Linked DNA regions of Ovis aries. The protein of the gene in region 3 interacts with the protein of the main gene of each other region in a pairwise test. Links are inferred from orthologs where the notes say so. Each region holds a gene or a part of one and is shown on either strand. Other genes may lie near its edges.

Evidence for each region.
Region 1: the proteins of SGTA (region 3) and PTN interact in a two-hybrid assay, tested with the Homo sapiens proteins (2 studies listed by BioGRID and IntAct). The link is inferred for Ovis aries from reciprocal best matches to the Homo sapiens genes SGTA and PTN.
Region 2: the proteins of SGTA (region 3) and TFRC interact in binary tests that used the Homo sapiens proteins (3 or more experiments, as listed by UniProt). The two-hybrid records come from large-scale screens. The link is inferred for Ovis aries from reciprocal best matches to the Homo sapiens genes SGTA and TFRC.

Annotation. Positions count from the first base shown.
Region 1 is NC_056057.1:102,434,108-102,438,168, forward strand, and holds the start of PTN (pleiotrophin), read right to left. Parts: upstream 2,806-4,061; 5' UTR 2,618-2,805; intron 1-2,617.
Region 2 is NC_056054.1:191,631,590-191,635,675, reverse strand, and holds the start of TFRC (transferrin receptor protein 1), read left to right. Parts: upstream 1-1,281; coding exon 1,282-1,447; intron 1,448-4,086. Other genes in the region: palmitoyltransferase ZDHHC19, read left to right, coding at 805-1,071. UniProt on the Homo sapiens protein: Cellular uptake of iron occurs via receptor-mediated endocytosis of ligand-occupied transferrin receptor into specialized endosomes. Endosomal acidification leads to iron release.
Region 3 is NC_056058.1:18,712,590-18,715,330, forward strand, and holds the end of SGTA (small glutamine-rich tetratricopeptide repeat-containing protein alpha), read left to right. Parts: intron 1-613; coding exon 614-703; intron 704-892; coding exon 893-1,007; 3' UTR 1,008-2,240; downstream 2,241-2,741. UniProt on the Homo sapiens protein: Co-chaperone that binds misfolded and hydrophobic patches-containing client proteins in the cytosol. Mediates their targeting to the endoplasmic reticulum but also regulates their sorting to the proteasome when targeting fails.

The DNA.
Region 1 (4,061 bases), on a different chromosome or scaffold from region 3:
GCTCCACTCAGCATCCAACTAAGGGAACAAGGGCAACTGGAGGTGTCTGACTCACCAGACGCTTAAAGGTGAGCATCTCTTCACACAGGACTGACCTGCACTCAGCTTGCCCCGTGATCCCCCTGGGTGGTCTTGGTTTGGGCATTACCTTAGGAGGGAGTCAAGGACAGTTCCCCTTTTTACTATGTCATCATATTAAAAAGTGTATTTGGAGAACTGGAATTCATAATCAGAATTCAGACTACTGGCCCTGAATCCACTATTAACTCATATACCGTTTTGAACAAGCCAACCAAACTCAGTCTCCTCAGAAAATTTTGAATAGTAATAAAATACCACATGGCAAATAAGAATATGATCAGAATTCACGTGAGAATGTCATTTAAATATGAAAGCAAGAGTATATTCAAAAGGAAAAAATATTTAAACTCAAAATATTTGATCTCTAAGATTGACTTTATTGATAAAAGCAATTAAATTATTTAAGGACCTTATTTCTCTCAAGTTATTTCCAGTGATCAGATTCTGTGAAAATCCAAACCAGGCCACAAGGTTTTCTAGAGTAAAAACATCAAAAATGTTCATTTAAAAGTGCGGGTTCTGTGACATATTGCTATATGTGAAGATTAAGGTATACGTGGAAATTCTCAATAAATTAGTAAATTTATTATTCCCAATATCACGAAAAGAAGTCTAGAAGTCCACAGAATTGTGTTATAAATATAATACACTCTAAATATTTTTAAATGTTACTATTCTCATTCTATATAAGACCCCATTGAAAAGTCCGATAATAAAAAGTCACATATTATCTGAGTTTCTCTTCTTTCACAGCTCTAGCTTTGAAAATACAATACACTTGTACCAAAAAGCAAACAGCAGGAACACAGCAGCTAACGTGTTAAGTATGGCTTCAGGTGGGTGTTCCTTATAGCTTTTCACTAAATGAGAAAAAAATGTCCTAAAAGAGGCCTGGGAAGAGGAGAACAACTTCTACCAATTTAAAGTACAATTAGAGAATTCAAAGCACCAAAGTTTCTTAAAGCACAAAATAATTGTTTTTTTTTTAATGAAATAATTGTTTAAAAGCCATCCTCTAATTTAAATGAGAAAGTACAAATATTGCTCCTCTGAAATAACTCATGTCCCAAAGGAAGGAAAAACAAGAAAATATCCACTCTAATTGCCTTTGAATTTAACTGGACTATAAATTTTCTTATGATTTGGTCTTTAGAATGCCTAATTTATTTAAAAATAAAACCAGAAAGAAGATGGAAAATAGAAGCTTTATTTTCTATGCTGAGAGACACCTCTTTTGTCTCACTCCCATTACCTTCCAATATTTCAAATATCAGTTTATCCCCAGATGCTCAAGAGGCTAAAATGGACTTTACGGTTCCACCAACACCACATTTGCCTGAAATCATGAAATCGCTTCATTATGTGTTTAGTTTAAAAGCTTTCTTGATAGTTCCTGGACCTCCTCCCAGGCCCTTTCCTCCAACACACACACACACACACACACACACACACACACACACACACACATACCACCTCTCTCAAGCTGTTAGAGCAAAACGCCTAAATAACTCTCAAGATGAAAGACGCCAAATGCCAAAAAGACCGGAATTTAATTTTTCTCAAATCGTTCCTTCTCCCAGTCATTGCCACCCCTCCCCCCATGTGCCACTCCTAGTTTTTCAGTGTATCCCCCAAACTTATAAAGCAGCTGTTAACAGAGGGAGGGTGAGTTAACAAGAGTATAAGTAAACTCAGTGTTGTGTTGTGTTAAAGAAAAAAGGGTGCTTGCATGTGTGTGTGTTGAAGAGAGAGGAAGTTTTATGTATTAAGTAGGGAAGGGAAGTAGAATATATTCCTCTCTTTTAAAATATTTTAACTTATTAGACGCATCAACTCAAAAACTGAGAATCTAGCCAATTAGCAATCAATATACCCTAGCTTTACCTGGGGGAAATAAAAAGTTCAAGTGTCTCTGTACAGGGCAATTATTAAAATTATTCAAATGAGAAGTGGGATGCAAGGTGTGTCTTTTAAACTTCGGACAGAACCATTTCTAGAACCATTCCTGGGCTGGCAGGCAGGACAAGGAGTGCCCAGATGCTCTGTGAGGGATGCGCAAGGTAGCTGGCACTGGGAGGAACAAGCTCCCACTTGGTACCTAGAAATGCCAGCTCAAACGTATCAGCTGGCAAGCCCTGGGGCCATCCGGGAAGCTGAGGAAAGATGGGAAAATGAGCCTGCTTGCTCAGGCTGCCTTACTTTCTCTCTCTTCTCTACCCAGCCACAGACACACCTACTAGCTCAGGTTCTACAAAGGGCAAAGCCTCCGCACGTTCGCCATCCAGCTGGAAGCCAGGAACCCAGTCCACATGCACGTCCCATAACATTACAAAAGCTTACACTCTTCCCGGGGGTCGTGACTATCTGACCTGACTCCCCCAAAGTAAGCCTCTGGAGCGCATCAGTGTTGAAAGCAGCCCCACGAGCAGAGACACCAGCAGCCTCTCTCCCACTCTCACCAGTATCACGCGCTGGCGCCCAGAAAGGTGTCGATCCGAGACACCTCTGGAGGAATCGCGCATTCGCTTCGACTTACTTGGAGTCGCAAACGAGCGGTGCGCGCTCAGGCTGCCTTTGTTGATCCGGGAGAGGTTTTTCTGCCCTGAGTCCAGGTACCCAAGTCGCTGGTGCTCGCGGCGGCCGCTGCTCTCTGCGCCCGCACGCCCGGTGACTCCCTGCTCTCTTTCTTCTCCTCTCTCCACTTCGGCTTTTCCTCTGCTCTGCGGCCTTGGCGGGATTTTTGGACTGGAAGGCGGGGAACCCGATCCTGCCTCGGACTGGCGCACGCCCTGCCGGGGAGGGGACGGAAGGGAAATGGAGAATGGGAGGGATGTGAGGAGCGGGCAGGGAGAGGACGCGACTGGGGAGGGGGGAGCGCGCCGTTCCCTCGCGAGCTGATTGGGAAGCTGCTTCTTAAATGCGAGGTTCTCCCCCGGGCCGTCTCGGCCCCCACCCCCGGCGCCAGCACTCGAATTTGAACTCAAAGGCCGGGGGAATGAAAAACTTGTTTCGTTTTTAACAGGGACGGATGCAATATCCCTTTGCCAAACTTTGCGCAGGACCTTTTCTGCAGGTGGGTGCGAATCCCAGTTTACCAAGTAGCAGACCTGAAATGGACAGTTGAGGGTATCTTAGGTGACAGTTCGGGCCCCCGGCGATTTTTGTGATTGCTATTGAGGGTGAAAAACCACAGTCTTCAGAACCAAGCTCTGGTTTGTCCCCACCCCACCCCCAACGCCCTTCCCCCTCTCTCCCGAACAATCTCCCAAATCAATCACTCCAGCGGTCAGTCCCGTCCCACCTGCGCGTCACTAAATGTGCAAAGGACTTTTTGGCGCTTGTCACAAAGAGTGACAGATGTCTGAAAGTTCCCAATTAAATGCTACTTTCCTTTAGGGGGCTCTTTCTTTTTCTGGCTTCCTTGGTGCATTTAGTGACCTACTTAATGACATGTCTTTGACACTCAAGAATTTAGGGGCTTAATCCACGTGGCTCCAGCTCCGAGGTTTGTACAACTCAGAGGCTGGGCTTCCGTCTTTCTGGAATTTCCATTTTCTTCGAATGAGGACAGAAGTTAAGGTAATGTACCTAGGATTATTTGAGTAACACATAAATGAGTATTTGTGATATACATGAGAGCAACGTGTTGCGTGAAATGATTAAGTATAAACCAAATGTACCCAAGTACTGTCAAAAAGGAGATTCTCCTCTGCTCACCGGTTCTTTTCTGTTCTTTCTCTTGCTTCTTTTACTTCCTGTCCACTTATTATTTGATAGTGCCGACCCCAAACCTAGCTGCCAAATATTCCTCCCTTCCGTTTCCCATAGTTCTGAAGTAACTTCCTTTCAATTCAATTTAAGAGATAGCGACTAAGTACCTTATATAACTCTTAAAATTTACATAAATCAACCTAAACCCCCAAAAGCATTGTTTTGTGGGAAGTGGCTCTTAGGATCTTAGAGACTTTGATGGCTACATG
Region 2 (4,086 bases), on a different chromosome or scaffold from region 3:
AGTGCCCCTATCTCCTGCCCACCTACTCTCCCGGCACCTGTCTGGGACCAGGAAGCCTACTTACATGGGGGCCAGTGGTGGGCGTGAAATGACTTCTGGGACTGTTAAAGACCAAAGGTGGCAGTAATTCCCAGCCACTCTTGATCACTCAGGCAGGTCACTGCCTCTGTGCCTGCACCTTTTCCGGGAGACTGGCCCCTTTCTGCACTGGTGCTAACATTGTAGAGGGGCATCCACATCTATGCTGGGCCTGGTCAGACACTGCTATTCTTCCCAGGCTCAATGGCACTGGATGTCCAAATGCCCTTGGCAGGCTGCAGGACCAGCCAGGGGAACATCCTGCCTCTTCTGAATGTCTAGAACAGAGGGTCTCCTGGTCTCCTGGGTTCTGAGTGCACAGTCTGCAACAGTTCAGCAATGTGCTGTCTTAACTGGTCCTTGCAACCCTGGGAGACTGGCTGGGCAATCGTGTTATTATTAGGCCCACCCAGTGGATGAGGAAACAGATGCCCAGAGATATTCTATGTCCTGTCTGAAGTTACACCAGGATTTGTCCCAGAGAAGACCAGGCAGGTCCTGTCTCCAAAGCCTCTTGACAAGACGTGTAGCTCTGTGAGCCCTGCGGTGCTCTAACAGGGGAATGCCAGCAGGGTTAAGGACTTTGAGACTTAGATTTTCCCTAGGAATGGGAGCCACTTCATGAGGTCAAGGGCAGGTGGTTTAGAGGGAGTGCATAAGATTTGGGGGCGATGGAGCCTGGATCAGAGATTGGGTCAAGGCCTGAGCCTTCTCCCTCTTGCCTAGGACTTTGACCACCACTGCAAGTGGGTCAATAACTGCATCGGTCACCGCAACTTCCGCTTCTTCATGCTGCTTGTCCTGTCCTTATGCCTCTACTCGGGTGCCATGCTGGTCACCTGCCTGATCTTCCTGGTGCGTACGACCCACCTATCCTTCTCCATGGACAAGGCCATCGCGTATCCGCTGGGGTGTGGGGACCCACGACCAAACAGTGAGGGTGGCGAGGAGCTGTCAACAGAGGGGCGGGGTCACCGGGGGGGGCAGAGTTAATGGTGAGCAGGGTTAGACGGTGAAGCCGCCTGACAGGACTGATCTGAGACGAGGTGAGGACAGATAGGGTCAGAGAGATGGGTGGGGATAGGAGGAACTGTGAAGGGGTGAGCTGGCAGAGTCAAGGATGGAGAATGCTAGAGGTGGCACGGGCCCTAGGCAGCAGGGTGGGCAGGGAGCTGGTGGGCGGGGCTACGTGTGGGCGGGGTTATGCTAGGGCCGGGGCCAAGGAGGTCTGCCCGGAGGCGCTGCTCCTTAGCTGCTGTGCAGCATCTTGGTTGCTGTACCCGCCGCCGGCTTCCTGGTGCCCCTCTTCCTGTTGCTGCTGATCCAAGTCATGTCGGTGAGCGCGGCGGAGCGGTCCTACGAGGGCAAGGTACGTGGGGACGAGCGGGGCGCCATGATGGTATCGGGCTGTGGGTGGTCACCTTACCCCTCCGGGCTTCCGCACCTTCCGCTTTCTCCTTCGCCCTGGTCTTTGATGGCCTGAGCTCTCTCGAAGGTGCCTCTTGAGCCCTTCCAGACGCAGATTCAAGCTCAGATCTCACCTCCTTCCGGAGCTCGGCAGTCACTCTTCTTGCGTCGAAGGTGCACTAGTGAGGGCTAGGCCCCGTGCGCATTATTTTGAGCCATGGGCGTGGAGGAGAGTGAGGCTGCATCCTGAGAGTGTGCTGACAAGGAAACGGAAATCAGAGTAACTCATCAGACACCAGCGAACGCGCTGAGAGAGGGGCCTCCCGACATTGTGTAGCACAAACTCAGAGCACTGAGAGTTCAGTGAGGACCGCGGTGTTGAGTAGGACGTGCCACTTAGCGGGTTTGGACGGCAGAAGGCGAGGCATTGCTGTGAGGGGCAAAGAGTGCAAAAAAAGCACGGAAGCCTGAAAGTCTGTGGAATGCTGGTAGGCGGGTGAGGGAACACTGCTGATCGCCGCAGGTGTGGCATGAGCAGTCAAGTGATCTGCCTGGGACTGACCAGATTTACAAGGCAAAGAAGTCAGGTGGATAATTTAATCTTGGTGCAGTGGAAACTTGGAAACCTTGATAGGACTTTTTTCTTTACACACAGTAAAGTTCACCCTTTTTAGTGCACAGTTGTATGAGTTTTGACAAACATACAGTTCTGTAATCACTGCCATAACCAAGATTTAGACTAGCTCCATCCACCCTCCCCTCACTCCCCAAATTCCCTCATGGACTTTTGTAGTCCATTTCTCTCCCAACTTGCAGCCCCTGGCAAATACAGAATTGTTTTCTAGCCCAACAGTTTCTCCTTTTTCAGAATTTCATATAAATATAATCATGGCCTTCTGAGTCTGGTTTCATTCACTCAATGTAATCCATTTGAGATTCATCCAGGTTGTTTCCCGTATCAGGAGTTTCCCTCTCTTTGCTTCAGTAGTATCTCATCAAACAGGTGTGTCACAGCTTCTTTACTCTTTTTTTGCCAGTTGAAGGATATCTGCATTGTTTTTGGATTTTGGTGATTATAAATGAGGCAGGACAGGAGAATGTTGGATCCCACCAAAAAAAGATAACCCATGTCCAAGGGCAAAGGAGAAGCCCCAGCAAGATGGTAGGAGGGGCAAAATCACTTTTAGAATCAAACCCAATACTCGCCAGAGAAACTTGGAGGGCTCAAACAAACCTTGTGTGCACCAGGACCCAGAGACCTCACAGAGGCTGAGCCAGAACTGTGTTTGAGTGTCTTCTGCCGAGGTACGGGTCAGCAGTGGCCTGCCGCAAGGGCAGGGGCTCTGGGTGCAGTAGACCTGGGTATGGCATAAACCCTCTTGGAGGAGGTTTCCATTAACCCCAGCATAGAGTCGCCAGAACTTACACAGGACTGGGGAAACAGACTCTTGGAGGACACAGACAAAACCTTGTGCAGACCAGGACCCAGGAGAAAGGAGCAGTGACCCCACAAGAGACTGAGCCAGACTTGCCTGTGAGTGTCCAGGAGCCTCTGGCAGAGGCGTGGGTCAACGGTGGCCTGCTGCAAGGTTGGGGGCACTCAGTGCCGCAGTGCATGCATGGGACCTTTTAAAGGAGGTCACCATTATCCTCATTCAGTTCAGTTCAGTTCAGTTGCCCAGTCATGTCTGACTCTTTATGACCCCATGGACTGCAGCACACCAGGCATCTCTGTCCATCACCAACTCCTGGAGTTTACTCAAACTCATGTCCATTGAGTCAGTGATGCCATCCAACCATCTCACCCTCTGTTGTACCCTTCTCCTCCTACCTTCAGTCTTTCCCAGCATCAGGGTCTTTTCCAGTGAGTCAGTTCTTTGCATCAGGTGGCCAAAGTATTGGAGTTTCAGCTTCAGCATCAGTCTTTCCAATGAATATTCAGGACTGATTTCCTTTAGGATGGACTGGTTGGATCTCCTTGCAGTCCAAGGGACTCTCAAGAGTCTTCTCCAACACCACAGTTAAAAAGCATCACTTCTTTGGCACTCAGCTTTCTTTATAGTCCAGCTCTAATCCATACATGACTGCTGGAAAAACCATAGCTTTGACTAGACGGAACTTTGTTGGCAAAATAATGTCTCTGCTTTTTAATATGCTATCTAGGTTGGTCATAACTTTTCTTCCAAGGAGCAAGCATCTTTTAATTTCATAGCTGCAGTCACCATCTGCAGTGATTTTTGAGCCCCCCCAAATAAAGTATGTCACTGTTTGCACTGTTTCCCCACCTATTTGCCATGAAGTGATGGGACCAGATGCCATGATCTTAGTTTTCTGAATGTTGAGTTTTAAGCCAACTTTTTCACTCTCCTCTTTCACTTTCATCAAGAGGCTCTTTAGTTCTTCTTCACTTTCTGCCATAAGGGTGGTATCATCTGCATATCTGAGGTTATTGACAATCTTAAGTGATCTGTCTGGGATTGACCAGATTTAAAAGGCAAAGAAGTCAGGTGGATAATTTAATGTTGGTGCAGTGGAAACTTGGCAATCTTAATTCTAGCTTGTGCTTCATCCAGCCCAGCGTTTCTCATGATGTACTCTGCA
Region 3 (2,741 bases):
GCATGTGGGATCTTAGTTCCCCAGCAGGGATTGAACCTACAAATCCTGGATTGCAAGGCAAATTCTTAACTACTGGACCACTAGGGAAGTCCTCTCTTCTTTGGACCTTGTGGTTAAAAATTATTGTGGTAAAAGATGTATACAGTTTCCTGTTTTAGCCATTTTAAGGTCCGTAGTCCCATGGCATTTAGTACGCTTATAATGTCCTGTAGTTGGTCACTACAATCTAATTCCAGAACGTCCATCACCCCAAAATGAAGCCCCACCCCCAATATCGTTGTCTCCCAGCTCCTGACTACCAGTCACCCGTCTGTGGATCGGCCTGACGGTGTTTCCACATCAGTGGACTCAGAAATTCTACGGTCTTATGTGTCACTGGCATGCCCCGGTGTCCCTGGGGGGCAGCACTGCCCCACTGAGAATCACTGTTTTTAAGTCAAAAATGGATGTTCCTGGGAAAGTTGGTGAAATTGACAGGTTACAGTCAGAAGGGTGGGCTCAGGGGGACTTGGGTCCCAGGTAATGTCTCTTGCCAGCAGGGGGGAAGGGTCAAGCAGGGCCGCAGCGGGAAAAGGGGGCTGAGCCGTCTTCAAGTCCAGGACTCTCTTTGCAGCATGTCCGGCATGATTTCAGGCGGCCACAACCCCCTGGGGACTCCCGGCACCAGCCCCTCGCAGAATGACCTGGCCAGTCTCATCCAGGCGTGAGTAGACCTGCCAGGTGGGGCTCCTGGGTGGGGCAGGGTCCAAGGTCCCCGGGTGCTCTGTGGGGCCTCATCCTCCAGGGAGTGGTCCCTCTGCCCTCCAGGGGCACGTCAGGTAGGGAGAGGCGGCTGGGTGGGTGCCTTGGACCTGGCTGAGCCCAGGCACGCCTCCCCTGCCCCCACCTGCAGGGGCCAGCAGTTCGCTCAGCAGATGCAGCAACAGAACCCAGAGTTGATAGAGCAGCTCCGCAGTCAGATCAGGAGTCGGACTCCCAGTGCCAGCAATGATGACCAACAGGAGTGACCGCCCCGTGAGTCCCCGGAGCTGGGGGGCACCTTGGGCCCTCAGGTCTCTTGCCGGGTGGGCCCACTCAGGTGTTTCTCCCTCCAGCCTGCCCAGCGCCATCGGGTCCTTCCCGGCCTACAGGAAGCCTTCTTGACCTTTTCCGTCTCCTCCCATTGGATCGCCCACGAGAGAAAAAGAACTTGGACCTGCATGTTAAGCCGGATTTTTATGATGTTTACTTTTACTTCCTCCCCTCCCTCCCTTTTTATACTCTCTCACGGCCCCCAGATCCTTCTTGAAACAGAGCCAGCAAGCTGTGAGTGCAGACCAGCACCCGTCTCCCTCCTGGCCCCCTGCCCTGAAGACCTGGTCACTAAAGTATTTTCTAGAACATTCTGAGGTGGGGGTGGTCTTCTCACCGCTCTCCGAGAAGTGGCCTGTGGGATGCCGTGGCCCCGAAGCCCCTTCTTCAGCCCCCGCCTGCCTTCCCAGTCTGTCTGCAGGGCCTCCCAGCCCCCGAGAAGCCGCTTTCTGAGTTGACCGTGGCCTCCCTGGCCACCCCTGCTCAAGCGAGCTCACTGCCAGCCAGCCCGGCCCAGCAGACCTGGGTTCTCAGACAAGGAACTCCAGTTGCAAGTGCCCCAGAGGCAGTTTCTGCGCCCAGCGGGGGCCGAAGCAGACGTCTTGGGTGCACACAACCCATTTCTGGGACTTAAATTCCAGTCCAGTGCTCGGATGGACTCGGGTCTGATCGCCATGCTTTTCCCAGTGCTTACAATTGACAGACTGTGAGGGGCCTTCTCATGACCTTTGAGCTGGCTCCTGAGCCTGTCGCAGCCTGGCTGTGTATCCCAGCCACTGCCTTCTGTCCACAGGTGGTGGTCCTGCTGGCCTGGCTTGCCTGCATCCTCAGCGGGCTCTCCTCCTGCTTGGGGGTCAGGGCTATGGGGGTCCCTGATGACCACCTGCCTGGGCCTGAGATCACCGGGCAGCCACTGTGGATGTCCCTGCAGCCCAGGGCAGGGTGGAGAGGGTCCCTGGCACCGCAGCTCGGGCCACAGTGTTGGTGATGAGATCGCTGGAGGCTCCCTGATGGTGTCGGGTCCTGTGGGAGGTGACACCGTACCAGTACCGTGTGTGTAGGTAACTCGTAGAGACAGCCCCACACACATCCCACAAGGCGTCCTAACTCATGAGTGCTACCATGATGACGAGATAACGTGTGGGGAATAAATAGACATCGTGATCTCTGCTGGCCTCCATGTGGACCTCTCAGTGCCACTCTGCCCCCACCCCCTCACCTCCCAGAGCTTCCTGGAACCCCCAGTGTGGACCCTGCATGGGTCACCCTGAACCATTGACCCAGGTTGTGTGTGCCTTCCCTGTCACCTTGAAGACAATCTCACAAATTTGGTGGCCTTTAACTACACACAGTGTCTCCATCCTGGAGGCCAGAAGTCAGACTGGGGACCCCCTTGGGCTAAATCCAGGTGTGGATGGGTCTGGCTCACTCCCTGTCCAGAGGCTGACGTGTGGTGTAGGTGCAGGGGGTGTCAGGCCTGCACTCGACTCCCCCGGGTCGCTGGGCTGTGGGAATGCTTTGGGGCCATACCACTTTCTTTGGCCGTGACCTCTGTGGCTTCCAGTGGGTGTACTCAGCCTCTGGTGACCTTGAGCTGCTCTGTCCTGCTGAGGACCTCCCCATGTTCCCTGCCACTTGGATGGTGGCCAGTAGGTCACAAAGGAAGTTCA